Linked DNA regions of Saccharomyces cerevisiae S288C. The gene in region 3 interacts genetically with the main gene of each other region. Each region holds a gene or a part of one and is shown on either strand. Other genes may lie near its edges. The genes, in order: RIC1, YPT6, ENT5 and ENT3.

Evidence for each region.
Region 1: mutations in ENT5 (region 3) and RIC1 together harm fitness more than expected from each alone (negative genetic interaction), as found in Saccharomyces cerevisiae (5 studies listed by BioGRID, with this or other methods).
Region 2: mutations in ENT5 (region 3) and YPT6 together harm fitness more than expected from each alone (negative genetic interaction), as found in Saccharomyces cerevisiae (4 studies listed by BioGRID, with this or other methods).
Region 4: mutations in ENT5 (region 3) and ENT3 together harm fitness more than expected from each alone (negative genetic interaction), as found in Saccharomyces cerevisiae (8 studies listed by BioGRID, with this or other methods).

The regions. Positions count from the first base shown.
Region 1 is NC_001144.5:223,541-233,235, forward strand, and holds RIC1 (Ric1p), read right to left. Parts: upstream 5,057-9,695; coding exon 1,886-5,056; downstream 1-1,885. Other genes in the region: COX12 (cytochrome c oxidase subunit VIb), read right to left, coding at 1,381-1,632; AFB1 (Afb1p), read right to left, coding at 5,368-6,042; NFG1 (Nfg1p), read right to left, coding at 6,426-6,911; thioredoxin TRX1, read right to left, coding at 8,162-8,473; PDC1 (indolepyruvate decarboxylase 1), read right to left, coding at 8,850-9,695.
Region 2 is NC_001144.5:663,856-670,605, forward strand, and holds YPT6 (Rab family GTPase YPT6), read right to left. Parts: upstream 5,037-6,750; coding exon 4,389-5,036; downstream 1-4,388. Other genes in the region: chaperone ATPase HSP60, read right to left, coding at 1-1,147; sphinganine kinase LCB5, read left to right, coding at 1,989-4,052; VPS63 (Vps63p), read right to left, coding at 4,382-4,708; TMA7 (Tma7p), read right to left, coding at 5,613-5,807; RED1 (Red1p), read left to right, coding at 6,485-6,750. UniProt on the Saccharomyces cerevisiae protein: Protein transport. Might participate in post-Golgi transport.
Region 3 is NC_001136.10:762,095-769,869, reverse strand, and holds ENT5 (Ent5p), read left to right. Parts: upstream 1-1,898; coding exon 1,899-3,134; downstream 3,135-7,775. Other genes in the region: DNA-directed RNA polymerase I subunit RPA14, read right to left, coding at 1-345; peptidylprolyl isomerase CPR1, read left to right, coding at 870-1,358; GIR2 (Gir2p), read right to left, coding at 3,367-4,164; putative mRNA-binding protein CTH1, read left to right, coding at 4,715-5,692; NUM1 (Num1p), read right to left, coding at 5,996-7,775.
Region 4 is NC_001142.9:652,589-660,006, forward strand, and holds ENT3 (Ent3p), read right to left. Parts: upstream 3,376-7,418; coding exon 2,149-3,375; downstream 1-2,148. Other genes in the region: YJR124C (uncharacterized protein), read right to left, coding at 304-1,650; VPS70 (putative zinc metalloprotease), read right to left, coding at 3,666-6,101; RSF2 (Rsf2p), read right to left, coding at 6,329-7,418. UniProt on the Saccharomyces cerevisiae protein: Involved in the recruitment of clathrin to the Golgi network and endosomes to form clathrin coated vesicles. Plays a role in the trafficking of clathrin between the Golgi network and endosomes.

The DNA.
Region 1 (9,695 bases), on a different chromosome or scaffold from region 3:
CAGGAGAAAAATTGAATGTTTCCCAAATCAGAAACATTAAAATCCCTCTATATGATCAGAGGAGTCGTACCTGTTAGGGTATGAGCGAGGAAACGTGATTGAGAGTTATAAACTGACCATACGAAGAGTTACGGCCATTGATTGGGTTCATGACACCCAGGGAAGTTTCTTTTGGATTAAAATCACAAGTCTTGCAATTGCTGTATGTATTGCATGAGTGAAGTAGTTGGCATCTAATGGATACCCACTTAGGGAGTTTATGGATGAATCTTGTCTTCATAGGGTAGCTCGAGAGTGTTTTTTAATCTAGTGATATCCACTTAGCTAAGCGCGGCTGGAGATACAATATTTACAAAGGCAATTTCAAAAGTAGGAGCGTTTTCAAAGGCCTGCTCCATTCTCCGTTGAGGTAGTAGAAGCAAATATAAACGGTTAATCTTGCTGTTTTCCTTGTTTTGTCTGTTGGTTTTCACTTGCTGAAGCCTGTGGTTCAACAGTACTCGGAGAATCGGCCTTATCTAGTCTCCTTCTGACCTGTAATGCGTAAAATTACGACAAACGTATTTCGTGAAACAATTGATAGGAAAATTGTCATTTGCTTGTTAAGGCAGTGCATTGAGGCTCTTTAAAGGTACTTTAGAAGTTTATGTTACTATCCTTCTAGCCTGATAGAACAATAAGTAAAGAATTGACATTCAGAAATCAGCCATCATTTCGTTTAGTAGTAGCAATCGCAAGTAGTGACTGTAAGAGATAGAAATGTGTACTTCAGTCTGGAACTGGGGCGCTTGTGAAGGATGTGTGCCGATCTCAGGCTGTTGATGAAGGTCTCTTCAAATACTATATTATTATCTTTTAGTAGGTCCCAGGAAGTGCCTTATTCTCAACATGTTCAGCGTTTATCTTTCTCAGCCTGAATGTATTTCAAACGATGACTAGAAGAGATTAGTACCCCTTATATAATCCTCGAAAATGTTGCTATCTCAGTGAATTGAAAGTTCATGCTGACGTCTTTATCAGCGTTATCCATTGCCTTGTTCTTTTCAGTGCAGTGGCAGATGTTACGAGGGTCAAATAATTTTTGAATATATATAGAAATGGCTACTTACTATAATTAAAAATAAATATGAAAAATAAAACTTCAGTACCCCACATCATTCTCATTTTTTTCTGTTTGTTTGATTTTTAGGAATTTGGCTCCATCATGAACATTCGTTAGCGTATGATATCACTTTTTCATTATCTCCTATTGTTACTTTACTTTTCATATAGATATCCTTCATCCCGTGTAGGTCTACTACGCAAAAATGAATTCTAGTAATTAATAATAATGATATAAAAAAGGCTAAGTGCACATTACTAAAAACGAAACTAAGATCCTTAGTCTGAGTTGATATCACCTGCGAAAATACCTTTTTCTCTTTGATCATCCCATTTTTCGATCCAGTCTAGGGGACATAAGGCGTTATAGGTCTTCCAAAAGACCTTGCACGGAGCAAAATCTTCGCCCTTCATATTAACACACTTGTGATAATCCACATAAGATTGCCAACAATGCTTTGTTTGGTTTTGTTGGGGAAATCTAGCATCGAAACCAACTGTATGTAGTGGAGAGTTTTCTTGATCAGCCATGTCTATTATACTGTATTTATGTGCTTGTTCCTATTTGTGAAAGCAAAGATACTTTATGTATTCTTACTAAAATATTTGTATATCTCTGCTAATCATTTTAATGCAACTTTTCTATCTGGTGCATCTTTCATCACCTTTTAAAGATCCTGAAGGGATGGGGATATCGGGCAAAACTACGCGCGACGCATTTCTGAAAATTGATTGGTCAATGTTATGAAGCTATATGGTAAAGAATACATGGTGTCATATAGATTTATTTGAATCTCTCGAGTGCTTTTTGAACCAATTGTGTGTTGTTTTCTCTGTCTAATTCCTTGAGTAAGCGTATTAATTGGAAACACATGTCCCACGAATCGGTAGCTTTAATTGGGTCTGTGGCGTTTGCAGCACTTGTCACCAAAAGCTCTAAGACTTTAAGCATTAATTCTTCATCCTTCAATAAATTAGTGACAGATTTCTCTGACTTTTTTGTAGAGTTATCATTTAGAGCTTTGCTTTCCTCAGTCCCTAAATCTGATTTCTTAAAATGTAGATCATCTCCCAAATCTTTCTCATCGTAATTTAAAAACACTAACAGAAGTACGCCAAGCATTTTAGCCTCATTTTCTTCGATACAGAGTGCTAATAAATCTCTTGGTGTCATCTTTAGATTAGTGAATAGATGGTTCCAGTATTTAGTTTCGATCTTCCTTAAACAATTACTAATAATTTCTAACATACCACTGTGGGTTGGTGGTGAAATATTATGCTCAGGATCGGTGTTGTCATACATCTTAATTAATTTCAGGATATCATCCAAAGAGTCGCTTCGCAGTATTTTAGTAGACAAAATCTTTTCGAGTGCAAATTTGTAAGGCTTTAAAAAACGATAATTGTGTGAAATATCCTCCAAATCTGTGTTGTCTTCTAATTTGGCTAAGATTAATTGGTCGAGGTATATTTGGTGTTTCACCACCAATTTGGAAAATCGCGCGTTAAAAATGCAGTGAAGTGTATGTGTTGTAGCTGTTTCTGGGGTGGTTGATATTGGATACAAATCTTCTTCGATTGGAATGGAAACTAGTGGCTTTTTATCATCCCATAAATCTTCCAAAGAGTATACGACGTAATTATGGCCTTGAACTACAAATATTTCGTCCCTGATAACATCGATTATTTTTTCTATGTTATCCAACAAAGTTAAGGTTTGCCAGCCCCCTCCATCCACTTTGCCAAGCTTTATAAATTTCCTATCGGCAAAAAATAACAAGCCCTCCTTCATGTTAATTATCCACTCAATTTTGTTGGGTAAAACATCAATTGGAATGTTAATTTTGAGATACTGGTAGAATTTTTTGATGATGTTTAATCCACATGGATGTACAGTAGAAATTACATCGAAGACAATTGTCTGTGTATCAGTAACTAAAATAATCTCGGCAGTTTTAAGCAATGCATCAGGTTGTTTTTCAGAAGCATTGTGATTCTTGGATTTCATTTTCAACAACTTATACCGGGATAAAGTATTAACATGTAAACTGAAAACAATCGTATTCTCTGGAACATTGTATTCCCACATGACATAATCTGATAGTTCCACGTCCGGATTCGCTTCTTGCAGTGGAATCTGCAGACATTTCAGATTTGTTGAGCCATCATCATTCTTCATATGACAAACCAAATAATTATCACCTAGCCAATGTAAATCCAACACGTTTTGGTCAGCAAAACTAGACCACATATTGGTCTCTAGATTGTGGATAAGCAGTATGTTTTTGTTCGACACATAAGTAGCAAATAACCTCAAGGAAGAATTAATTTTTACAAAAGCAATATGATTATTGAAAGTCTTTGTAGGAAGTTTTATGACTTGTAAATTATCATTATTGATTGAAGAACTTGTCACAGGTGAATATATGATTACATCATTGTTCGTATTGGTTAATACGTAACATTTTGGGTTTCTGAAATCAAATTGTGTTTGTTTTATTTCTTCCCATAATTTCCAAACTTGATATTTTCCGGAATGAGACACTGTTATTAGTGATTTATCCAAGCATACAAAATCAGAAATTTTATATTCAGCCGCCTTTTTCTCATTTTTATCCTTGCTGTTGTCATTATTGTTATCACCATTATAATCATCTTCGTCAAAATATGTAGCGAATAGCAGATTCCCAAATTCTGTGTAAAAATGAATGTTAACACTATCCTCAGAAACCAAAAGTAATATTTTATCATTAATTTTATCGCAAAGTTTTATCACAAATGGTGGTTTCCAAGAATGGCTTACTTTTTTAATTCTTGTATCAAAGCAGATTATTTTTTCTTTGTAAACGACCACCAGGTATCCATTAACTTCTAGGCAAGTCAAAAGTTCATCTGGTGTGTCCGTTAACGGTATTGCTTCAACAGCTTGCTTTTCAATGTCTATAATGCTTACAATAGTCTGCTTTTCGACGGAATCATGAGATAAAACCATTAATTGTTTATTACACACAATTGTCTTGGATCCCTTCTTCACTTCAACCAACGAGCTCTTGCTAACTTTAAAATCCGATATTGTAAGTATTTGTAATCCATGAGGGAATAAAACTATCAAAACTTCTTCATAACGCCCATCCCCGACTTTGGAAAATGTCTTGATGCCAATCATGTCTATGATTTCATAGTCAAATTTAAGAACTACTTTTAAACGAAGTTCTAGTTTTTTCACGGGGAGTTCATCAATGTTTTCTTGATTAGAAAGAAAGTGTAAAAACCCTTTTTCCTTAGTTATGCCAAATCCATTCTGTATAATTCTTGAAGAACTATTTTTATCAAATACCGTGAGAGTATCATCATCGTTGTTATAGTCATATTCAGCACTGTTCGCTTCTTCTTCACTCATTAAAAGAGGCTCTATGACGGGTATGCCGTATTCTTTGAAAATTATTTCATTTGTGCAGTTTTTTAAAATTTGGTATGTTAAAAGGAAGTTTTTATCAGTCATTACGTAAAATATCAGCTTTCCCTGGTGCCACAATAAGTATTGCGAGTCCTTTTTTGAAATAAGCCCTTCGATGATATCATTATATGGAGCTGATCGTTTCATTGATCTGTTATCGCCAAATTCCTTAAGAGAAGCCATTGTTCGTTCATGGCTAGCTACTAGTGCCATTGGTTTGAAGTTGTAAATGAGCACTCTTGTTGGGGTTAGCATGATAAGAACATTGGCCTGGGGTAGTGTCATTGATTGAAGAATATTGCAATCATCTATTTTAGTACCCTCACCTAATTCGGCGTTGCGGGGTGGAATTCTAAGCAATTGGGGCGGACTGACTGGCCATAAGTGCATTTTCCACGTGTTCAGTTTCTTACAGCTTCCGGTCAATAACACTCTTACCTTACCTTTTTTTTTGTAGAGGCATTTAGGTGTATTTTTTTCAGACTGTTTGATGAACATCAAAGGCGTCGGTATTGCCGAATTAACATCAAAGAACAAAAGCCTGCCATAAAACGACAGAAAAGACAAGATTTTGGCCAAGATGGCAACGCCATTCAGAAGTTATAATAATATGTTAAAAATAAATCGTTTGATACTGTACAAAGTTGATGTTCATCGTTGTCACTAAAAACGCTCTTAAAATCGAATTGTCCATTGAAAAAGTACATACTTATATACATATTTGTATAAATAATACACATATTATAAAAAAAGCGAAAAGGGATGGCGGACCTCCCATGGAATTAAATTGTCAAATTTGGTTGAGGCACTTAAAGGGCAACTGCAAAGATTCCGAACAACGCCATGGGGAAATATAAGCTTTTGGCATGGGCACCATTCTGTGATTGACTAGTTCTGGATGTTGAAGAAGAGTTTGATGCGGATATAAGTGCTGTTGTACTGTTTTCTTCATTAGCCATGGAAATCATGGACTGGCCTGCGTTCGCTGTCGAGAAAGGAACAGAATTGGAAACGGAGTTTTTTTGGCTGGCATAAGATGAGTTAGTCATGGTAGCTTCTGTCTCACCTGTTATGAAGTGTTGGGGAAGGTATATGGTGGTGGCGGAGGCTTTGTTTAGCAAAGAGGTATACCATGGAAAGGCCGTAATGAATGTTTGGAATTGAGTGAACGGAAAACTCTGAGCAATATCAGATTGTAAATCTGCTGTTGAGGCCAAATCAACCATGTGATAGTAGTAGTCAGCAACAGGTTGAGGTAGGGTTAAATGGTTTTGCATCATGTATGAGGTATACTGTGGAAAAGCGGTGTCGAAATCGTTTAAAAACTCCATGAAGAATGCCATGTCTGCATCTGCAGCTGCGGACCTGGCAAGTGTATCGTCATTGGAACTAGACGTTAAAGTTTTGGCAGCAAAACTGTGGCTGATTAGAAAGCTTACCAGGAGAATATTTTTAATGAGGGAGAAAGAAGGAGCAAATATCATTGATACGCAATATTTTCAGGAATGTTGTAAATGGTTCGTAACTGGATATCGAAATCACTTGATTAGAAACAATACGCCGGAATATGATCAGGTAAAGCAGAATAACAAAGAATAAACTTTCTCGATTGAGAGTGTCTTTTTAAATCATCCAAGCTCTTGAATTTTCTAGCATAGCCTTGGATGACAGCAATAAAAAATTTGCCAGGATTTTTCCCTATTTGGGCGTTCAATGAAGATAACGTTTGAAATATTAAAAACTAAAAAAAGAAAAAGGTTTGAAGCAATTAATAATTTATTAAGTTTTTTTTTATTTATCATACTTAAGAATATGGAGACCACGGGTTTTCTTACACCTGCGAAGACCTTGAACCTAATATATTTGTTTAAGAAAACAAATAAGCGATTGTTTCTAACATTAAAACGAAGTAAAGACATGGCTTGACTGAACCTACACCTCCTGTGCTTGTACTTGAACTTATAGTATTAGTTGTTTGAGAGCTTTTTGTTTCATTTCTCGACGAAGAAGGCAATGGCGTGAACTGGGTGACTACCGTAGAATTTGAGGATTGGTAATTTATAGATGTTATGACGCTGGAAGTGACTTTTGGTATAGACGACGATGATGAAGAACCGGTGAAATTAGCAGCAGCTAATGAACCAGTAATAATGCTGGAAGAGGTGGTGCTTGGAAGATGAAGTAGTTGATCGTTAGAATTTCCAGTGTCAAGAAAGGTGTATTGCACTTTCTGTCCAAGGGCAGTATTCAAATCCTGAGCATTTGAATCTGTGAGAAGTTGCGCTTGAACAATGAACAGTTGTAGTAGCACAATTGGGGCGAAAGCTAAAGAGCCAAATTGACTGATCTTCATATTTTTTTTGATTTGTTGACGAGCTATAGGATGATGAAACGGAGGGATATCAAAGTACGTTCTTCAAGCTTACAATTTCTCAAGGTGCTTTACTGGTCAAGATATTCAATATATAGCTAAATATTTATACAAAATGTTTGTTGACGGTTTGTTTATAGTGTTTTCAAAACACCACGAAAAGACTTCATTCTTGCATTCTTTTTTCTACAAGATGAGTCTATACATCTGAAACTGCGACGCCATTTTTTCCGCTGTTCGGGGCATTCTTGGCCAAATCCTCGAAAGAAATAAAACGTCAAAAGTAAAAAAGGTGGGCTAGACGAAACGTTATTATACGTCATAATTGTAGCCGTGTATGAGTGGGTGGAACTTGTATAAATAAACAAGTTCTTACTTATCATATTCTCGCATGCAATGAAATTCTCCAGATTATGACGCTTAGGTCTGGCCAGACGGCTAATGAGGTCCAGAGGAAATAGAAGGATTGTAAGCGGCCTCCACTAAATTTTGACCCCTCATACATGCTTGTTCAAACACAAAAGATTGAGGTTGAAAACTTGGCAAGAATTGGGCTAGGAGAAAGTGGCCAGGTGCTTCTTGTTCAGAACCAAGCAGATATGCTAGCACAATGTGCACCGTTCTATTTTTTTCTATAGTGTGTTTACATTTCTTGGCACATTGCGTTCGGTTTCAAATTTGTATAATTATTATTGGAGCGAGACAGGCGTTTCTGTACCGCTGTTATTTTTAACATCCACTGCGTTTTATGTATCTCTAAAATTGTGCGTTGCCTTTCTTTTGTTTATATTTTTGTTCAAAAAATGAGTTAATAATGATTTTTCATCTTCGGCTTACCGGTCTTGAAAATATTTGTTAAGACAACAGTGGATAAAATAAAACTAAACAACTCAAGCAAAAGTATTCCACTTCTTAAACAAAGCCCAACTGAAAGGTTGCGAAATACTATGTCATTTTGATTTAATCATCTAATGCTCGAGAAAATTTCAGAGCCGTAATACTTAAGTAATCGGAAGAAAAGTATCTCATTCTTCATTTTTCTCCAAATATATACCTCTTGTGTGAAAAATTAATTGTTTCCTCCACCTCCTTTGTGTGGTGGGCAATTGTGTGCTTCCGAGTAAATAACAAAACATAAGGATAATATATAATTCTGTTTTTTTGTCTAAAAAAGGTAAACTATATATAACAAACACAGTATAGAAACACAATATATCGGTCATTGGGTGAGTTTAAGCATTAGCAGCAATGGCTTGCTTAATAGCCGCTGGGTTGGCACCAACAACCTTTGCAACTTCCTTACCGTTCTTGAATAGAAGCAAAGTTGGCATAGCGGAAACTTCATTCTTTTGTGCAACATCACCCAATTCATCGACATCCAATTTATAGAAATCAGCTTGTGGGTATTGTTCAGAGAATTTTTCAATCATTGGAGCAATCATTTTACATGGACCGCACCAAGTGGCGTAGAAATCTACGACAACTAGCTTGTCTTGAGCAATTGCAGAGTCGAATTCGCTGGCAGTTTTGAATTGAGTAACCATTATTTGTATCGAGGTGTCTAGTCTTCTATTACACTAATGCAGTTTCAGGGTTTTGGAAACCACACTGTTTAAACAGTGTTCCTTAATCAAGGATACCTCTTTTTTTTTCCTTGGTTCCACTAATTCATCGGTTTTTTTTTTGGAAGACATCTTTTCCAACGAAAAGAATATACATATCGTTTAAGAGAAATTCTCCAAATTTGTAAAGAAGCGGACCCAGACTTAAGCCTAACCAGGCCAATTCAACAGACTGTCGGCAACTTCTTGTCTGGTCTTTCCATGGTAAGTGACAGTGCAGTAATAATATGAACCAATTTATTTTTCGTTACATAAAAATGCTTATAAAACTTTAACTAATAATTAGAGATTAAATCGCTTATTGCTTAGCGTTGGTAGCAGCAGTCAACTTAGCTTGTTCAACCAAGTTTTGTGGAGCATCGAAGACTGGCAACATGATTTCAATCATTCTGATCTTAGAGTTGTCGTTGAAAGACTTGTCTTGGGTCAACTTGTCCCATTCACCGGTGGTAGCGACTCTGTGGGTTTCATAGTCCTTAGCACCGAAAGTTGGCAACAAGGATAGGTGGTCCCAACCTTGAATTTCGTTGTATTGAGCCTTTGGACCGTGAATCAACTTTTCAATGGTGTAACCATCGTTGTTCAAGACGAACAAGTATGGCTTCAAGCCCCATCTGATCATGGTGGAGATTTCTTGAACAGTCAATTGCAAAGAACCGTCACCAATGAATAAGATAACTCTCTTCTTTGGATCAATTTCTTCAGCAGCGAAAGCAGCACCCAAGGTAGCACCAGTGGTGAAACCAATGGAACCCCATAAGACTTGAGAGATACCGTAGGTGTTGTTTGGGAAAGTGGTTTGGTTGATACCGAAAGCGGAGGTACCGGTTTCAGCAATGACAACATCACCTTCTTGCAAGAAGTTACCCAATTGGTTCCACATCCATTCTTGCTTCAATGGGGTAGAAGCTGGGACAGCAGCGTTAGCTGGAGTTCTAGCTGGGACAGCAACTGGCTTGTAACCCTTAGCGGCGTCAGCAATAGTGGTCAACAACTTTTGCAAAACGAATTTCATTTGGACACCTGGGAAAGTGGCGTTTCTGATCTTCATGTGGTCGGAGTGGAATTCGACAATGTTCTTGGTCTTGTAAGAGTAAGAGAAAGAACCGGTGTTGAAATCAGACAACAAAGCACCGACAGACAA
Region 2 (6,750 bases), on a different chromosome or scaffold from region 3:
CATATGAATTTGTGGTGGTAATGTCGATGGAGCCTTTGATTTGTTCAATTCTCTCTTGAATAGCTTCCTTTGGACCACTACCGTTCAGGATAACGGTGTCTTCCTTAGTAACGGTAATAGAGTCACAAGAACCCAAGTTTTCTATGGTACATTGTTCTGGTTTCAAATCCAACTCCTCAGTAAAAACAGTACCGCCCGTCAAGACTGCAATATCACCAATTGTATTCTTTCTATTATCACCGAAACCAGGCGCCTTCACAGCACAAACCTTAACTTGACCCCTCAACTTGTTCAAAATACAAGCCGCAAGAGCTTCACCGTCAACATCTTCAGCAATGATCAACAAAGGTCTTCTGCTTTGATTGGAAATTTCCAAAGCTGGCAAGATATCTTGAATGGAAGAAATTTTCTTTTCACTCAACAATAGCAATGGCTTTTCAAATTCCACCTTGCTCGACTTTGGATCAGTGATGAAGTATGGAGAAATAAAACCACGATCAAACCTCATACCTTCAGTAACCTCAAGTTCATCTTCCAATGTTCTACCTTCTCTGATAGTGATGACACCTTCTTTTCCAACCTTTTCCATAGCTGAAGCTAGTAACTTACCAACATGAGAGTCCCCATTGGCAGAAATGGTTGCTACTTGAGCAATTTCCTCAGATGTGGTAATTTCTTTCTTGTTGGCGCTCAAAAATTCAATCACTTTTTCAACTGCAACTTGAGAACCCCTTCTCAAATCCATAGGGTTACAACCAGCGGCGACATTTTTGACGGATTCTGTGAAGATGGCTCTACCTAAGACAGTAGCAGAAGTAGTACCGTCACCAGCAGCCTCATTGGTTTTGGAGGCAACTTCTTGTAGTAACTTGGCACCCATATTTTCAAACTTGTCCTTCAACACAATAGATTTGGCAACTGTAACACCATCCTTAGTAATCTTTGGAGGACCGAAAGGCTGTTCGATTAAAACGTTTCTACCCTTTGGACCCAAAGTAGCAGCAACCGCTTCAGCTAAAGTTTCGACACCCTTAAGAAGGGAGGCTCTTCCTTCTACACCGAATTTCAATTCTTTATGAGAGGAGTAAGCACGACGCAATAAAGGCCTTAAAGTAGCGCGACTACGAACAACGGATGATCTCAACATTTTGAAAACTTTTTTGCTTATGATGTTTTCTCGTGGGAATTTTCTTATATTATTCAAGGAAGTGCATGAAGACGCAACCACGACCTTACATAATGAATGTAAAACTTAGTCTCCTTCAATATATATACATGAATGTCCGTCTGGATTCTGCTCCGGGCAAAACGAAGCAAAATTAAAGTCACCCTCCCCATTTGGTTTTCTGGAAAATTCCACGAGGTCCGTATATGATGACATATACAGATGGGCGGCTATAAAGTAAGTTTCCAGAGGTAATACCAGGCAATAAACAGCTTCAATTGCTCGTAACACCATTGTATACCTACAAAAACAGTGGAATAGGGATGAGACATAACTGGCTGGAATTTCAACTGTACTTCTTTGCACAACTAGTCTTGGCGTTCTACTTGATCATTGCGCGAATGGATGCACTCGCAATAATTCCCAATAGTATAACAGGAGGAACATTTGGATGCATTAGGTATATTATTCATCTTCTTTATCATCAAAATTTTCTCTTCCTTTATGTTACTATGTTGCTTTCTTTTAATCTATGTTTTTTTCCCTTTCAGTTGCCACCGCTTTTCTGCAAGATTCATAGTTAGATTTGCAAATCAAGGTGTTTTCGGGCCTTGTTAAAGCCTTCGCAGGCGAAGAAGAAAGGGAACGTAAGCTGCGTGAGCCGAATCTATTTATACAAAAACAATCAAAAAAGTATAACTACAGCATAAACTGTTGTATATACGTGTTGCAAAATAGGAAAGAAAAGAAGAGTAAAAGGACTCTTGATATTATCTCGAAAAAACCACAAATAGTGTAAGATTTAAACAGTAAGCCAAAAGAGATGACTTTGAAACCTTCAAAGAGACGTAAGGGCAGGTCTCGCCATTCCAGGAAGAAGCAAATAACGTCAGCGATACTGACTGAGGAAGGAATAATGATCAAGGCAAAACCATCAAGTCCTTACACATACGCAAATAGAATGGCAGATAAACGAAGTCGCAGCAGCATTGACAACATCAGTAGAACTAGCTTTCAAAGCAACATCAGTAGAACTAGCTTTCAAAGCAACAGTGATAACAACAGTATATTTGAAACGGCTTCACTAATTAGCTGTGTTACCTGTTTAAGCGATACTGATACAATAGACAGATCGGAAACATCGACAACGGATACAAGTAAAGATGATCTTTCTGCTAATCCAAAACTTCATTATCCTTCGGTGAATGGTCAATTGCCAGCAAACACCGTTATCCCCTATGGACGAATTCTGGATGCCAGATACATTGAAAAGGAACCTCTGCATTATTATGATGCCAATTCATCACCCAGTTCACCTTTAAGCAGCTCAATGAGTAACATTAGTGAAAAGTGTGATCTTGATGAATTAGAGTCTTCCCAAAAAAAAGAAAGGAAGGGCAACTCGCTATCGCGAGGAAGTAACAGTAGTAGTAGCCTCCTGACTTCCAGATCTCCTTTTACGAAACTAGTAGAGGTTATATTTGCTAGGCCAAGACGGCATGACGTTGTACCCAAAAGGGTTTCATTGTATATTGACTATAAACCCCATTCATCTTCTCACTTAAAAGAAGAAGATGACTTGGTTGAGGAGATTTTAAAGAGAAGCTACAAAAACACTAGAAGGAACAAATCCATATTTGTGATCATTAATCCGTTTGGTGGTAAAGGTAAGGCGAAAAAACTGTTTATGACAAAGGCAAAGCCGTTACTATTAGCAAGTCGGTGTTCCATAGAAGTGGTTTATACAAAATACCCTGGTCATGCTATAGAGATCGCGCGGGAAATGGATATTGACAAATATGACACTATTGCTTGCGCTTCGGGAGATGGCATTCCTCATGAGGTGATCAATGGGTTATACCAAAGGCCTGATCATGTCAAAGCATTCAACAATATCGCCATTACAGAAATTCCATGCGGATCAGGTAACGCAATGAGCGTATCCTGCCACTGGACAAACAATCCTTCGTACTCAACTTTATGCTTAATTAAATCGATAGAGACTAGAATTGATTTGATGTGTTGTTCGCAGCCTTCTTATGCAAGAGAGCACCCAAAGTTATCATTTTTAAGTCAAACATATGGTCTCATTGCAGAAACTGACATAAACACTGAATTTATTAGATGGATGGGACCTGCAAGGTTTGAATTGGGTGTAGCCTTCAATATCATACAAAAAAAAAAATATCCTTGTGAGATATATGTAAAGTATGCTGCCAAATCAAAAAACGAGTTAAAAAATCATTACCTGGAACACAAAAATAAAGGGTCGTTAGAATTCCAGCATATTACTATGAACAAAGATAACGAGGATTGTGATAATTACAATTACGAAAATGAATACGAAACCGAAAACGAAGATGAAGATGAAGATGCGGATGCGGATGACGAAGACTCCCACTTGATATCTCGTGATCTGGCAGATTCTAGTGCTGATCAAATTAAAGAGGAAGATTTCAAAATAAAATATCCATTAGATGAAGGTATCCCTAGTGACTGGGAAAGATTGGATCCTAATATTTCGAACAACCTAGGTATCTTCTATACGGGTAAAATGCCATATGTGGCTGCTGACACTAAATTCTTTCCGGCAGCGCTTCCTTCAGATGGTACAATGGATATGGTTATCACCGATGCAAGAACCTCGTTGACGAGGATGGCACCAATCCTGCTGGGACTAGATAAGGGTTCCCATGTTTTACAACCGGAAGTCTTACACTCTAAAATTTTGGCATACAAGATAATACCAAAGCTAGGGAACGGCTTGTTCTCTGTCGATGGCGAGAAATTTCCTCTAGAGCCCCTTCAAGTCGAAATTATGCCACGCTTATGCAAGACGTTACTGAGAAATGGCCGTTATGTGGACACAGATTTCGATTCTATGTGACACTTTACTTAATCTTTTCCTTCGTACTGAACAATTAATCAAAAACTAGAATATGTCATTTCTATTTCTTCTATATTTTTTTTACGTTGTTGTTGTTTTTGTTGTTGTTTGATAACTTTATACACTCCATACTTCTTTATAAAAAGTTTTAATACCATTCTTTAATACAACCATGTTTAGTGAGTACTAGCTCCTACACATCAGATCGTCAAGTACATTATGATTATGATTATTATTAATATTATCAGTACAATTATTATGTGCTGGTAGTTCACTAAAAAATATGACGCACACAAAGAGTTCTCCTTATGCCCTATAGAACTGAAATATTAGGTGCTAACACTGACAAGCGCTTTGTTCCTGCTCCTCTGCTGTAGAAATATCAATGACTCCCGGTTTATTTTGGTTTGCACTATTTGCATTTTCGCTATCCAAAGGAGTTGACTCGCTGTTTTGAAATTCAGGCAGCGATTTGGCAATCTTTTTGAATAAAGCTTTGACATTATAGCCTGCCTTTGTGGACGTTTCCATAAAGATTTTAGCACCCAATAGTTTTGCTTTTTTCTCTCCCTCTTCGGTTGAGATTTGCCTTTCATCTGATAAATCACTTTTGTTACCAACAATGCACAATATAACATTTTCGTCACCTCTTTCATTTTTAACGTCTTCTATCCATTTATCAATATATTCAAATGATTTTCTCTTCGTAATGTCGTAAACGATAATAGCAACTCTCGAATCTCTGATATATGAAGGTATTAATGATCTAAATCTTTCCTGACCTGCTGTATCCCATAACTGTAATCTAATTGTCTTATCATCCAAATACATGGTCTTGGAAAGAAAATCTATACCAATCGTGGCTTGGTAATGATCATCGAACGTATCATACATAAATCTAGTGATCAGCGATGTTTTTCCAACACCCTGTTCTCCCAAAAAAACAATTTTGTACTTTGTCAATGATTTCCCGGATCTGCTCATTGTTAATCTCTTCTTTGTTTATCTTTTACTGTTCAGAATCAACAGCTTCAAACACTTCTTTTCACACAACCTTAAGTGCCCAATTGTGATATTCTTACATCATACATAGTAACAATCTATATATGGGCAATATTTTCCTCCACTAATTGAGCTGTGCTGAAGGCTTTATTACCCGGAAATTATTCGGCCATTTTTCACTAGAAGTTAATACCAGCACTAACGAATAGAAGCACCCTATTCTACTCAAGATGCCCGGTTCATGAATAGGGAGAAGTATTTTTCTTATTTTCCTTAGCCATCTATAAATATTTATCCTTATGCCTGTCACCACAATAGAAAAGGGTCCATTATATATCAGTTGTTTTCGTACCTCTAGAGAGACACGCAAGGGGCTTTATTTAGGAAACCTCCAAATTTGCTAGATGTAACCATTATACATAGTAATTACGATTGTAAAACATCGGAAAGAACGATATATCTTGCAAATAGCTTTTCTTTGGTAATATATGTATTTACTTAAAAAACGAGAACTAGAAAATACTGAGTAAATTTTTATTAGACGTTGTTAAAGGCCTTTTATTTCTTACCAGATTTTTTGATACCACCACCCACTAAAGGTTTACCACTTTTCATATTAGCCATCAAAGCTTTCTTAGCAGCAGCATCGGCCTTTTGCTTCTCTTTGAAGGCAATGTCTTCAGGATCTAAGTCCTGTTGTTGCTTCTTCTTTTGCTTTAGAGGCTTCATCTTACCACCTTGGCGACTAGACATGATTGCTTAGGGTTTTTCAGTTATTCTTCTGGTTTTGCAACTTACTGTGCGTGGAAGAGCAATCAATTACAGGATTTTAAACATGAAATTTTTTATTTTCCTCGTTCATTTTCGTCGCGGGAAACTTCCAGAAGTATAGATTTACTACAATTTTTATCTCAGGACAGAAAGAATAAACCAAAAAAGCCAAGACAAGCCAAGCCAAGCCGAGGCGACTGGAGGAGCTTTTCATCACATTCAATGACAAATCACAACAGGTTTCCCTGTTAGAAAAGGCATGTGCACTCACAATTCATATTTTCATACAGAAGATATACATTGGATTTCTGGAGATATCAGGTAAGGTTCGACAAAAACAATGGCGTTTGCCAACCCTTTATGATGGGTGATCTTGTATCCGCTTAATTGTGTGATCTAAAAAGGCAAAGTAACGTATTATTGGCTGGTTTATATAATTTGAATATGACTACTTTTTCAACGTTAAAAACGATAAATACTTGCTCAAAGGGTTCAGCGGCTAAATAAACTACGATTTCGCAGCAGGATCAGATGGATTCAATCACATCATTCGCAAAACATTCACATCATTCGTGAAGCATTAAAGGTAATAAGAAAAATAGAACAAAGATTTTTTAATCAGTGAGGACCACAAAGGGACAGCAAATACGGTGATAAGAATGGAAGGTTTGAAGAAAAAGATTTTTGGTGTTTGCCTGAAAAATGACTTAGCACAGACTAGGAATGAAACGAAAGGAATCCACTATGGGTTAATGACTTTGGAAACTTCTAAACAACTGCAGGAATTTCTCCATTTGCTAGTAATAAAGAGAGAAGTAATTCAAAATTTTGAGTTGTTATTTCACATCATAAATGTTGCCGTTAAAATCACCGATTCAAATCTTCCAAGTGATGATATCTGGCATTTCATTTTAAAATTAAGATT
Region 3 (7,775 bases):
CGTCGTGGAGACCTGAATGGGCGCGGCGGAAAAGTCTTGGGCGGGTGGCAGACCCTTGAAGTCTCTCTGAATCCTCTTTAATTGCGATATGGAGCTGGAAAGGTTGGTGTCGATGTTGAGGCTGGTGTTAGCCACAGCGGCAGCGTCCGCGTCAGCGGCGTTGCCGCTGATGGTATTCATGGTAGTACTATCAATAATGTTCTCCTTCTCATCGATAAAGCTCTCCAGAAATTGAAGAACCTCGTCAGTAGAGACATGTTGGGGCAGCTGCGTGGCATGAATGACCACAGGCGTGTTTAGCGTGGTAGCAGTGTTATTACCTGTTCTTCTAGAACCTTTCATCATCTTGTATTATCGAAATCTTACCTCAGACGTCTCCAGTTCTGCTCTGCCTTACCGATGAGACCTCTATAATCAATGTGATTTAAACATATGCATCATCTTGAAGTAAGCTCGAAATGAAAAATTTTACACCCGCAATATGCTTACCCGTCGCTGTTAGATGTTACCCGCCTTTCGCCCCTTAGGGGTTTCCACCGCCCCCCTCGTCCTCTACGGTATTTTCTGGGGCGCCCAGCCCGCCACGTCCCGCCTCGTCTCGAATTTCTTCCTCTGCTAGACGGGCTTCCACGCGCTTCCACTCATTTCTGTCTCTGGTAATGGCCGTGGCCCTTCTCACTTTGGTTGGGCTTACGCTGACAAGTGTCTGTTCGATTCCCTGTATAAATATAAACGTATTCTCTTGAGCCTTCTATCCTTTTGCCACTGTCGTCATCATTTGTTCCTCCTTTTTCGCTAGATAGGTTATATTAAGATTTGTCTTGAATTTAATATCTCAACTCAATCCAAACTCAACCGCTAATACTACCATGTCCCAAGTCTATTTTGATGTCGAAGCTGATGGCCAACCAATTGGCCGTGTCGTTTTCAAGTTGTACAACGACATAGTCCCAAAGACTGCAGAAAACTTCAGAGCTCTATGTACCGGTGAAAAGGGATTCGGCTACGCTGGCTCTCCATTCCACAGAGTTATTCCAGACTTCATGTTGCAAGGTGGTGACTTCACTGCTGGTAACGGTACCGGCGGTAAGTCTATCTACGGTGGCAAATTCCCAGATGAAAACTTCAAGAAGCACCACGACAGACCAGGTTTGTTGTCCATGGCCAACGCCGGTCCAAACACCAACGGTTCTCAATTCTTCATCACCACCGTTCCATGCCCATGGTTGGACGGTAAGCATGTTGTCTTTGGTGAAGTTGTTGACGGTTACGACATCGTTAAGAAGGTTGAGTCCTTGGGTTCTCCTTCCGGTGCCACCAAGGCTAGAATTGTTGTTGCCAAGTCCGGTGAATTATAACCGCTCTGCCTGGAACAATACAGCAAAAATTGAAACGAACTATTCTCTCTTAAATTATATGTATATGTATAAGGTATGTGTATGTATGACAATCAATTCTTATAACTAACTCTTCCTACCTATATCGGAGTATGTTGCCAGGCTTGCCAACTAGCCAACTACCGCCTAGGTTATGCCTGTTAAGTTGACGCCGCCGGGTACCGCCCCCTGTTTTTCCCACGTTTCTTTCTTTCCTCTAGGTAACGGATTTTCGGCTTATTTTCCACAGCGAGAAAATTTTCTTTCTCCTGCACTTTTTTTCATATTCAGGTCCTTTGATCCATTCATTCATTCTTGTTTTAATTTCAATCTAGATTTTAGTTTTCGGTTGAATTTATCTTTAGTTTTTTATCAATAAGAATTGGTCTAGCTTATCTTTCCAGGCTGCTTATAGTTTACTTTTTTTAAAAAATTATATTTCTATCCAATATACAAATCGGAAGGGAAATTCATATACACAAATTAAACGTTCCAATTGCATAAATACCAACACCATACAAAATGGACTCATTATCAAAAAAGATTCAAAATTTAGGTATCCATGATATTAGAAATGCCGCAAGGTTTGCCCAAAACGTGATAGTCCAATATGAGCCTTATCAGATAGATATCCGTCGTGCTACAAATACCGATGCTTGGGGCCCCACACCGAAGCACCTCGCCAAGGTTTTAAGGAACAGATACCAAGTGCCGCTCTACTTGATGACAGAATACACGTTGAAAAGATTAGTCGACCATATCGCTACCAGGCCCAAGAACCTATACGAAAAGGCAAGAAAGGACTACGTTAATTATGGGTCCGAATGGAGGGTGGTCTTAAAATGTCTAGTAGTCATTGAATTCCTATTATTGAACGTCGACACAGGTGACGAACTGAATCAGATTAGATCATGTTTGCTCACTCATAAGCATATTTTAACCAGGGAGATTGCCCAATTCAAGGTAAAATTCTCCAATGATGGTAAAATGGAGATTCATGAGAGAGGTATTAGGAAAAAGGGAGAACTTATCTTGCAATACTTGGAAGACTCACAATTTTTGAAAAAGGAAAGAGCCAAGAATAAGAAGAATGCCTTGAAAATTCGACAGCAAGGAGAATCCTCCATTTATAATGCCAACCAGATTTCAACGTCTGCAAGTTACGATAACATCGACGACGATGAATTTGATGCAGATGCAGATGGCTTTGACAGTGAAATGGATGCTAATAATGTGACCAACTTCAATGTTCCTGTGGAAACAGAAGCAAATTCGAATACTCGCAGGCGTTCTCATATGGAAGAACAAAGAAGACAAAGAAGGGAGATATTAAGAGAGCAGATCAAAAATAAAGAACAGCAGAGGAAAAGAAAGCAACAACAAGATAGCATCCCTGACTTAATCGATCTTGACGATAGTACTAGCACCACGAATAATATAACAATAGACAATGGTAATAATGACAACAAAAACAATAATATCAACAGCAATAGTGATGATGATGATGATGAGTTTGGCGACTTCCAAAGCGAAACGAGTCCCGACACAACAGCACCTAAAACTTCCAATAGTAAAATAGATGATTTGCTTGACTGGGATGGCCCAAAGTCAGACACAGATACCACCGCTGCTGCGCAAACATCATTGCCCTTTGCGGAGAAAAAACAGCAAAAAGCCCGTCCTCAGGCTACAAAGGACAAGTCGAAGGGAAATGATGCATTTTCCGACTTATTCTCTTACTCCAAGTCGTTGGTCTAATCACCAAATACCCCTTCATCTCCCAATACATTCAATACAGTCAACAAATTTTCATTCTCAGATATATGTATCCATATATACACTAATAATATCTTACTAAAAACTTGTCTATTTCCTTCTTCAAATGTCAGTTTTCTTTTTATTGAATATCAAAAAAATATTATATAGATACATTTGTATATGTCATTATCCATGCAGAAGAAAATACTTAAATACTTAAGTACACAAGTATTTATTGATTTGCTATTTCGGTCTTGGCAAGTCCCTTGGCTACGTCATCTACACTCGCGTCATCCTCTTCCATATACTCGTCGCCTGTGCCCACCACGCCTTGTTCAAACATTTGCTTACCGGTTAGCTTCCCATGATGAGCCTTCATCCTTCTCACCTGGTCTCTTTCATCCAGTTTCAGTTCTTGGCGAAATTTAGACCTCCATTCCAAGTACGATTCTCTTGTGACTTTAGTACCATGGAACTTGGCCTGTTCCTTCTTTTCACGTTCTTGTGCTTCCAGCTCGTACTGCTTCTCGAGCTTATTCAATTGTTCACTATACCATTGCTCACATCTTTCTTTTATGGATGAAATCAATGCAAAACACATTTGCATACCCAATAACATATCGGTTTCGATTTGCGATTCTAATTGTACGGTTAATTCAGGCAAGTACCCCTTAAAGCTTATTAAATCTGGCAGGTTTTCAAACTTTTTCAGTACTTTATTACCATGGTCGTCATATTCAACCTCGTCTTCATCTTCCTCGTTATCTTCTTCGTTGTCATTGAGGGCTACTTCTTGAGCTTCCAATGAAATCAGGCATGGTTCGTCAGGGTAGTTTTCTGGTAACTTGAATTCGGCGATTATAGTGTGCTCTTTGGTTAAAACAGAAGTAGAATCACCTGTATCCAGCTCTAATTTAATGGCTACTTCAAATTTAATCTTTGGGTATTCATCGTTTATGATCCTCAGTTCATCAGGATAAATGGACTCTAAAACTTCTAGTTCCTGCTTCTGTTCTTCCTTATAATCCATAGTATTAACAAGTGCCTTCTGGATATGGAGGGAGGGCTTTTCCTTAAATTATACCAACCGACAGCATGGGAAACTCAGCTCTTTAAAGCCAATCTAACGATGCCTGCTGATTTTACAATTGGAAAATAGAAAATTTTCATTTTCCACCTTCTGTTACCCGAGTTTATAGACCTAGGATTTCCAATCATTACTTATTAGGACATTCGGGAAAAATATACATATATGGCCCACTTCTCTCACATCTCTTTTAGGGTCTGTGCCAATGGCACCCAAATTTTTCTTCTTTCTTTTTCGCTCGTATTCTCTCACGCTCTTGATCAGTGTGAGCAGTTACTAATATACTGGATCAGAGAACATTAACTCAAAGGTTGATAGTGTAGATCATTGGACATAGTGTGACGGTTTTGCACTCTTGTTGCGCTTGCTCTCTTAACAAGTCACATCTTATTTAGCCTCTTCACCCATAAGTTGATTGTAAAGCCGTAGAACCCTATATCACAGTCTCTTCGGCAACTCAACCAATAAGAACTATTAAGGATTAACACTAGCCATGATGCCGAATGTTGCTCCAAACAGCTACTATTTAAACATACCGAATGCCAATTCGACCTCAACGACTACGTCCTCGATCTTTTCTGATCTCAACAAGGAGTACGAGTCAAAGATTAAAGAAATCGAAGAATATTATATAAAGACACTGCTCAATGAAAATACCGATAATGATGACAGCAGCAGCTCCGAGGGGCATAATATAAATGAAACGGACATTTTAAGTGAATACTCACCAAGGCCTTCTCCTTGGTTACCATCCAAACCAAACTGTTATCATCCGTTGGGAGATTTTAAAGACTTGATCATATCAGATTCCAGACCTACAAATACATTACCTATTAATAACCCTTTCGCAGGCAATAATAACATCTCAACACTTGCTACAACTGAGAAAAAACGTAAGAAAAGGTCACTCGAAGTTGAGATTAACCCTACTTACACGACAAGTGCATTTTCATTACCCCTGACAGCGGAGAATTTACAAAAACTATCTCAGGTGGATTCTCAGTCTACTGGACTTCCATACACACTTCCAATTCAGAAAACAACAAAACTGGAACCTTGTAGAAGGGCACCTTTGCAGCTTCCTCAATTAGTCAATAAGACCTTATACAAAACTGAGCTCTGTGAATCTTTTACTATTAAAGGCTATTGTAAGTATGGAAATAAATGCCAATTTGCTCATGGTCTTAATGAACTGAAATTCAAGAAAAAATCAAACAATTATAGAACTAAACCTTGCATAAATTGGTCGAAGTTAGGCTACTGTCCGTACGGTAAGCGTTGCTGTTTCAAACACGGTGATGATAAGGACGTTGAAATATATCAAAATGCTAACGATGGAAGAAGTAAGGATACGGCGTTGACTCCACTTCCTACTTCCCTAGCCCCAAGCAACAACGATAATATCACTAATTTGAGTAAGCCTAGGAACTTACATACTAGTGTTAAAGCATTGCAAAGGATGACTTGGTAGTCGGTCAACAACAAAGCCCTTTGAATATTTGGCGTATTTCTGCTGCCTCTCCTTATTTATTTATTCATTATCGTTTTCATATTTATTTCAGTCACAAAACAAAATTAAAGAATTCGTGACCTACTAACATGAGAATTAGTTAATTTAATCTTTTTAGTTTATTTATTTCATTAGGTAGAATTTTTTTTTCTTTCTCTGATCTTTCAGTGTTACTCATCGGTGGCAAACGTGTTTACAGGACTAAAAATCGAAATAATGATTATTATTGTTCTTAATTTACTTAGAGTTATTTAGTTTTTTTAACTATCGTAAATTGCCAAATGATCGGCTTTGTGGTACTCTATGTCTTAGAGACCTTGTAGATACGGACCTTCTCGATGCGCTAAGTCTTTTACTGGAGCTCTTTGTATTTTCGCCGGGCAATGGGAAAATCTTTCCTGAATACATATTATCTGTTGGATCATCAGCGATGTCCTCTAAACTTATCCCTTGCATGTTCCTTTGAAGTAAATAACGTAATGAATTATACCAAATATTGTGTCTTTGCCTTGTAGGACAAGTAAACTTAATAGTCCTAGTTTCTGTGGTAACAACAATACTTTTGTGATACAATCCTGTTGGATATGGGTTTGGGTCTGTGACACTTTCTACTCCTAGAATGGCAACACCTTTTGTTTTGGTATTGGCAGGATTCTCTAGGATGGGATTAGAAGCGGACCAGTACAAAGTTAAGGTATATGGATGAACCCAGAAGAATCTTTCATGACGTGATTCGAATCCAAAAGGTCCCAAGCGTGGATAATACTTAAACAAATATTCCCCAATGACGGTTTGGGTTAACGCGGGTATTATGCTTGGTTCGTTCAATGATGCTAAAGTTTGTAAAGATGCCGTCCTACTGGCAGATCCTGCACGTGACATAAATGATGCTACTATATCTCGTCTAGATGCTGGCGTATTCCTCGATGAATGTGTGGTTTTTGAGGTTGAATTAGAATTCAGACTCTGTTGACGTTTATGGTGCTTATGATGATTAGTACGATGAGACTGCTCTTCTATTTGTGGATGACTTTCGGAATCTTCATAAGCAGTTGTTGCTGCTGCTTCTGCAAGTCCCTTTTTTGCTCCAGACTTTGTGGACACAGTAGATGTTTTATTGTTTAGCTTATGCGACACATACTCATGTTTGGATGCCGTGGCTTGACCTTTCTTATCTTCCTTTGTTGTTAGTGCAATCTGGAGCCCACGCTTTTTAACTTCCGCTTGTAATTCTTCATTACTAACACAGTTCCATTTCATGTCTTCAGGTGACATTAGATTATGGTAATAGGACGCGGAAAGCACAACTATATCGCTCATATCTTGAGCACTTGCATATGATGCACCCACAAAATTACTTTCAGGAATACACAACATACCATATTTCATAGCTTGAGTTTTAATAATGTCTACATCATTTTTGATTTCTTGGCTTTCATCTACAAAGCTATCAGATATATCGTCACCATAAACCGCCTCATTTTGACTCATTATATTATCATCTCTTGATAACAGTGTTTTCTCCCTACTAGTCAAAATCAAATTACGATCGCCAGCGGGTTTCTTGAGTTGCCTTACTGTGAATGTTGGATCATCCGGCCCATATTCGACTTCTTCGTTGTCCATATCATTGTGGGGAACGGTGTTTTGGAAGGCACCTTCTTGCGCTGTGTTTGTGGTTTTTGCTGCTAAGTTTTGATTTTCTGACAAGGGATTATTCATTTCTTCCATGCCACCATTCAGATTAACCGCGTTATCTTTTAGTATATGATATTCTTCAAATTCCTGATCAGAAATGAGGGTCATACCATATTTTTCTGCTTTTCTAGATAAGTGATCAAGATCTATGCTACTGGCAACGCTAGTGTCATCGTTGTCCTTCGAAAATAATGGAGCTTCAATGTTTTTCAGATTGATATTTGATTTTTCGAACGGAACTAATTTGTAGCCTAATTTTTCAGCAGAATTCTTGATGTTTTCATAGGCGGGAATGAAAATGGTAGCATCTTTCACTGTGGATGATTTCGAGATTATGTCAGTATAA
Region 4 (7,418 bases), on a different chromosome or scaffold from region 3:
AAAGTGAAAGATTTTCAATATTACATATGTTTTTCTTATTATTACTTTTATCTTCTTTGTACACTCTATTGTTTAAATTTATAACATAATACAATCTTATCTTTTGATGTAAAAAAAAATAGGACTATCAATTTTTAAATAATATATCTTACGCAAATCTATCAAGTAAATATAAATGCTATTGGTTGTACTTCCTCGTGTGTCAGATACTTTAACTGGGTACTATTTACATTGTCTCTAAACGTAACGTTTCCTTGAAATGATCTACACATGTTTCTAAGTCACTCTACATTTGCTGCTGCATTAATGGCGGTTCATTTGCTTTTTAATTTTAGCGTCCACTCCTAAAAACATGCATGCCAGTATTAGATCCGCCGTTATCACCAAGGACCCACTAATGATGTAACATAGCCATAAATAATTATTGTTAGCAAGTATACCCGTGAATATTGGACCAACACACCGAGCAAATGTCTTTCCAATGTTGACCACCCCCATAACTTTGGTTAAATCTCTTGGTTTGATGATATTTGTTAATAGAATTTGCCTTGGTGTAACGTCCATGGCAGTTGTTGCAAAATGCAGATTCAAAAACAAAATAGATAAGGGCAAGTAATTCTTGGCCATAGGGATGAGAATAGAAAATATCCCTGATGGAATTTGGACCAATAGTGTGGCTCTTACTGGGCCAAAACATCTGGCAATTATTGATGATGGGATGGTGGAAGATGCCATAACCAGTTGCGTGATGAAAAATAAAGTACCCAACGCCAGAGATCCCATCAAAAATTGCTTACTATAGTAGTAAACCATCCAGCCACTTGTCATAAACCCGGACCCGAGAGAGTCGACCATGAAGATTACTAACAATTTCATCAAAACCGAAACGGTCTCCTTAGATAGTTTGTTGGATCTTTCTTCTGGGTGAGTTGCTTGTCTCATTAATGGTGCAGTTTCATCGTTAACGTCCAATGGTTCAGCTGTTTCTTCATTGCAATCTGTATGTTCATAATGCCCGTCCAATTCTGTAGCATCTGATAATAAGAGCATGATGACCATTTTGCAAAAGGCGAAGAAGGCATACAGTAAGAAAACTAATTTATAACATTGCAAATCAGTAGCAGCTAAACCAGTTCTTTTCAAAAGATCTACAAATATACCACAAATTATTGCACCTAGAGCGCTTCCAATTGTTCCAACCAAGGCGTGAATAGCATAAATCTCTGGTCTTGCATTATGAGGACTCAGATGTGCAATCATGGCCTCTTCTATAGATTTGAAAGGCCCGACTTCATCACTTGAAGGCGATATAACACCGAAGATAGCAAATACTAGCAAGAGGGTGAAATTTTCGCTAAAACTGAAAACCAACCCACTTAACAACATCATTGCACAACCATAAACTAGGACTCTTCTTCGGCCCCAGGAATCCGCATACCAAGTAAGAATGTAAGAGCAAATTACATCCCCTGCCAGTGTTAATGACATAAACAGCCCAATTTTATCCTCTGTCATATTGATGGCATTTAAAAAAAGCGTCAAAACTTGATTTGTTAAACCATATGATAGAAGTCTAAGAAAGACGGACGCCCATAGTAGCTTTATGTCTCTACTTGCACACTTGAATTTAACAAAAATTTCCGGTGCCATGGTTACGTTAACTTTAGAAATATTGGTAAATCCTTCTGCAATGAGCTTTTTCGAGATGTGAAAAATTAGTAGAGTTTTCTTTCGTGCCTTTTTTTTCGGTGCGTCAACTTTAATATATAGTTATAATTGCTCTATAATGCTAGGCAAAAATAAACGAGAAGGAAGGTGAGTTTTAGTTCATTGACTAAAAATGAGCAAAAAAAGTCAGGAGTTTTTGTTTTGAAGGGCACTTCAACTCTCGAACTATGGATTTACAGTTTCTTCCTCGTCTTTTTAAGTAAAGTATTTTCAAATGACCAAAATGTAAATAAATTTGAAAAGGGCCCTTCTTTACGAAAAAAAGATCAAAAAAATGTTCACAAACTATTTCACGAAATCAAGACAAACATATAAAGGAGAAATACAGTGGAGATTAGATAGTAATGTTCGTAATACCTGTTACAAAGTACTTTCTATTGTTATAAAACATTTACATATTGTGTAAACCAATAATATCACTCAAAAGGAAAGTAAATCGATTTCTTTGGATGATGTATGGTTATTATTGGTATTCTGTTCTTGTTGAACAGCTCCACCATGCATTTCACCAAATTCGTCATCATCATCTTGATCTGTACTTAGTGCAGTTGTGCTATTAGATACAGGATTAGAGGCAGCGGCTTTCGCTTGGGATGCTTTAGGAGCACTAGGTGCTTCTGCAGATGCCTTTGCAGTTGAAAAGAGAGAGCTAAAAGGATCTACTTTTTTAGGTTCCGCAATAGCTGGGGTAATCTTGCCTTGGTCGGTAGTGGAGCTGTTATAAAAAGGCATTGAACTCGTGGTGGCGGGCATACCCTCAATTGGGCTCGTGTTTAGCAAGTTAAACGAATTAGCAGGGTTGGTAACAGGGACGGCGCTTTGAAATTCTGAAAACTCGTCATCATCGTCCTCTTCTTCGTCCGCCTTCTTTTCATCTTCTTGTATGAGTTCTTTAGATGGTTTTGAAGACTCACTAGAAAAAAAGTCAACAAAGTCCTCTGGTTCTTGTTTTCCTTGCCCAGGAGTAGATGTGGCTCTCGAGGCATTATCGTTATATCCATTTTGACTAAAAGAACCATCTTCGTTATCTTCATTGTCACTATCGAAATCAGCACTCACGCTAATGCCGTGCACTTTCGTTGACGTGAAACCTGCCTTCGAATTCAAACTGCCATCAGCAGAGGCAGATCCTCCAGCAACGCCCTTGTACTTCTTTGCCGTTTCTCTTGCCTTTTTTCTTTCTGCGCGTATCTTATTATCGTCGCTCAATAATTCAATCAAAGCTTTGACCCTAGTTCTGACATTAATTCCTTGATCTCTTCCCTGGGAATCAATATAGTGAAAAGTTTCTAAAATCCTAATTAAGTTAATGCTATTCCTTGTATCATCGATAAACCTTTCAGAACCGTGTTTGATAAGGTAATCGAGCAATTGCAAGGCTTTATAAATTTGCCTCCACTCACTACCTGCCTTTTCAGTGAACCTTCTGAATATCATGGACAAAATTTCTTCTCTTTCCCTGAAATTGTAAGTTCCTTGAGAAATCTGGTCCATTAAAGTGGATGAGGCACCCCAAGGCTCGTTGTTTGTCGCTTCACGAACTTTCCCCTCCATCTCAGTATAATTGAAAACAACATTTTGAGCTTTACGAAAATATTTCTTGGCGTCATATAATGACATGTTGGCTAATGTATCCTCTAAACTCATTCTTCCTAACACTAATTAACGATGTGATCTCCTATCGACGTCCCTACACCTTCCTGAATTGGTAATTTTTGCTTTCCTCAAATAACTGTATCTACAAATCATTTCATGATTCTTCTAGTCCCCTTTTACTTTTCCTAATCACCTCGCACAACGTACGGTGTGACATGTATAAGAAATTGAAGCCATGTTTATAGAGTATATACAAAAAAGCCTCTCATGGTTATTATTCAAAGTCACTCTACGTATGCAAATAAAATAAATGTATATACTGAGGTGAGGTACTTAAATGCTTATTGAAGTAAATAGCGAACGTTGCTGAATTGGCTTAGCAAAATGGTTAACCACTGAATGACCTCGTTTCTATCAATATCAGCCAATCCTTCGTGAAGGCCGGGCAAAACTTCCCCGACAGATCCCTCAAACTTACTAGGTGCTAAAAGAGAGTACTTCATCCATTCCCTGTCTTTCAGTCCTCTGTGTGTAATAAATAATTGATCAATTTGCTTTGATTTGCTATTGGATCGTTGCAGTTTAATATAGCTCTTGATTTTTTTGTAAAAAGCCCAAACAGGTAAAGCTTCCCTACACTCTTTATAGAGAATACCATTTTGTTGGTCAAATTGGATGCTATCTTCCTGTGTGGCAACTTTTAATAAGTCCAGAACCCTTTTTGCTAAGCTGTTCACTTCATCGTCCTGGGGAAATGCTGAAGATAGATTAGAGTGCCATGCGATATACCAGTTATATATTTTCTTCAGGTAAACATGTGTATTGAATCTTGCCAGTTCGTTTTCACTCAGCATCAGCGTTGTCAAACCTACAAACATGGCCATGGTGTTGTGTAACTTGTAGTCAGAATTGGTAAATTTTTCCAACCAAGTTGGGCTATCGAATACGGAGTTACTATGATAGACTGCGCCTGAAGTATCATTGGCATTAAACTGAAAATGTGCAGCGGGCACTCCAAGATGGTACTGAAATGAAGTGTAACTAGACAACCCATCAAGTAGAGAAATAGTGGCATTAGAAGTGTATTTCCAATGGTCGAACAATGACCAGTCTTCGTGCCCATTAAATTCCGTGAGCTTAGCAGCTTCGTATATCACGTCTTGTAAAAGTGGGTTGGCTTTACAGTGAAAATTTGTCCCAGAGATTGCATTATCTAGATTTAGGTATACCAAGGCCCTTCTCCTGAGAATCGCAGCATGAGCTTCTGCATAATCTGTAGATCCCAGAAGGCCGGATCGTTCACCATCCCAACTTATTAGTTTGATAGGACGCAGTGGCTTCCAACCATGCTTAAGTAATTTACTCATTCCTCGTGCAATTTCTAAAAGAATAGCGCTGCCACTATTTGCATCACCGGCGCTACTCGAGGCGAGCGAATCCCTATGAGCTCCGATAATAATCTCCCCCTCAGTGAATATACCAGGGATACTAACCTCTACACTACTCATTTCCTTGATGTTGTAAGTTAGCTCATTATGCAAATGGACTTTATCGATAGAGCTTGAAGGTCCAGTGAATGATCCAAAATCTTTTATATTACTACCGGGCCCAATTTGAAAACCCCTGCCATTCAATCTTTCTAAAATTGGTTGGACATCTCTAGCACTCATCGGCACCGATGGTATCCTCGGCACTCTCCCTACCGGTGACATATGTTCAGTGTCGGAATCCTTGGAGGGATACCCTGGAGTTGTCGGATCTCCTGGAGTGTCACTGAAATAGTTTACAGAATCTCTCCTAATATAACTTGGGTTTCTTGCTGGTCCATAAGGATAGTGTAAAAACCCATTTTCCTCAGTAACTTTACCATCGTCAAATGGGTCTGTATATATAATGACACTGGAAGCGCCATAAAGTTCTGCATTCTTTACCTTTAATCCAGGTAATATTTTACCCGATCGTACGATGTGGATTTTATCTTCAATATCAATGTTTTTCTTCAAAAGTAGCTTGTAATCACTGATGCTACCATAATTGCAAAACACGTATCGAGCAGTTACACTTCCATTTTTTGAATATTGATGGAAACCCTTTTGCCTTTTCCTAGCGTGAGAAGCAGGATCACCTTTAACTCTATCCTCGATCATGCTTGCTTCGTAGACCACTTTACCATTTTCTAAAGGAGCTACGTTAGTGTCTACTGGTTCACCTATCCATGGGTAATATTTTTCAACTTTGGGTTTGTACCCCATATCTAGAAACTCGTCCAAGGTATATTTAAACGTTGACGAATCACTTGCTCCGTTGCTCATGTACCCAGCATACTTGTATACATGTTCTTTCGCTCTATTTTCCTGTTGCAAGGAGTTCAAGTATATCCTATAAACCTCTGCATTCGTCAATCTGGAAGAGTGAAACCGCCGAAAGTCTCTTGATAAAGACGTCCTGGGAGCAAATGCGGCAACAAATCCCATGTACAAAAGGAGACTCGCTAGAATCAAGTACATAAACTTTTCCTTGTCCATATGTTCTTTCATTATTTCATAACCACTAACAATACTAGATATTGTATTACTTCTGCCTCTATTCCTGGATGTTAAAGTGAAAGAATCATTCATGCTTTCTTCATTGTCATCGCGAGTGGTCTCGCCACTATATTGTTGTAATCCAGTGGCTTCGGCCTCATTGTCATCAGGGTCTGCCATATTAACAACAGTTCTCTCCTTTAATTGACCTTCCTCTTTCTCTCTCTTTCTCTCTCTCTGTATCATTCTCATATATCTCTTACATTCTTAATTGTGCATGTTGAAATTGTTTTAATAAGTACGGCCCCTTGCCTTGTCAAACCTTTTTACCCGGGCCATCAAACTCAAGCAAACTCCGAATGGAACAATGCCTTTTTGAAGCCTGGTGGTATATTATGAAAGTTATGATAGTTCTAAGCTTTAATTCTGTAAATACTATAGTATAGAGACGGCCGCCATTATATATTTGTAAATCGGACTTATATTCTAGTGTTTCTTTTTTTCGTAACACTATAGATAGCTCTTGATTGCAAACCATGAGCGAACGATAATATTATAGGCCAAATTGGCGCATCACCCAATATTTGAACACCCAAATATAAACATTTGGAGGATAGACTTGCCGCTACAATTAGTTGAATTGTCTCATTTATATCGGTATTCGGGTCCATGGCCCTTTGTGCTTGTTCTTCATTTAGTGCTGACAAATCTAGGGCATCCTTGTCCTGCCATCTTAAGAAATCAGTGTACGATTTCAACACATCACACTCCTTCGGTATCAAGTTCATTTGTAATCTTCTCAAAATCCTTTCTGCTTTTAGCCATAAGACACGGTCCGAAAAATCCAATAATGCTGAGTTAGGGTTGTTGGCATTGTACCCGCGTGCCCAATCCTCTACACATTTCATGTATTCCGAAATCACTAATACTGCAGTGAACATACATGTGGTCGCAAATACAGGAGTATTGAAAATTCTGCGCTTGCCCTGTTTAATGTACGTAAAAAATGAAGTCCACGCATCCACCATATTCAGTGCATACTCGGTAGCTTCCCTCAATGAACCCATGTCATAGCAAACTTCCTCCAAAGCTTTATTCATATTGGACCAATCTTTCAACCAGATTTTCTCAATAACATGTGCCAGGTCCAAACACCGTCTCATTTTGGCAAACAAATATACCGGAATTATTAACCTCATTGCTGGATTGGCGTTTATTGTTGACATGCTATTCTCGGTAGGTGTCAAGATGCCACCATTTTTCAAATAAAGGTTTTCCCAGTATTTTAACATTGTATCGATCCGTTGTCTGGAAGTCATCTTCCACTCAATATCGTCCAACTCAATGTTATTGCTATTGGTGTTGTTATTACTGATCCTTGCGTTATTTCTTTCAATAAGTATTTTCTCATGGATAGATATCAACAATGATAGACATGTACTTAACGAAACCCTAGCATTTCCGTAAAAAAAACTATCGCCTGTAGAAAGAAACCTCAAACAATTTTCATATGCCTCGTTACCATTAGACAATTCAATCAACGAAAATTTCGAATCTAACGTTATTTTG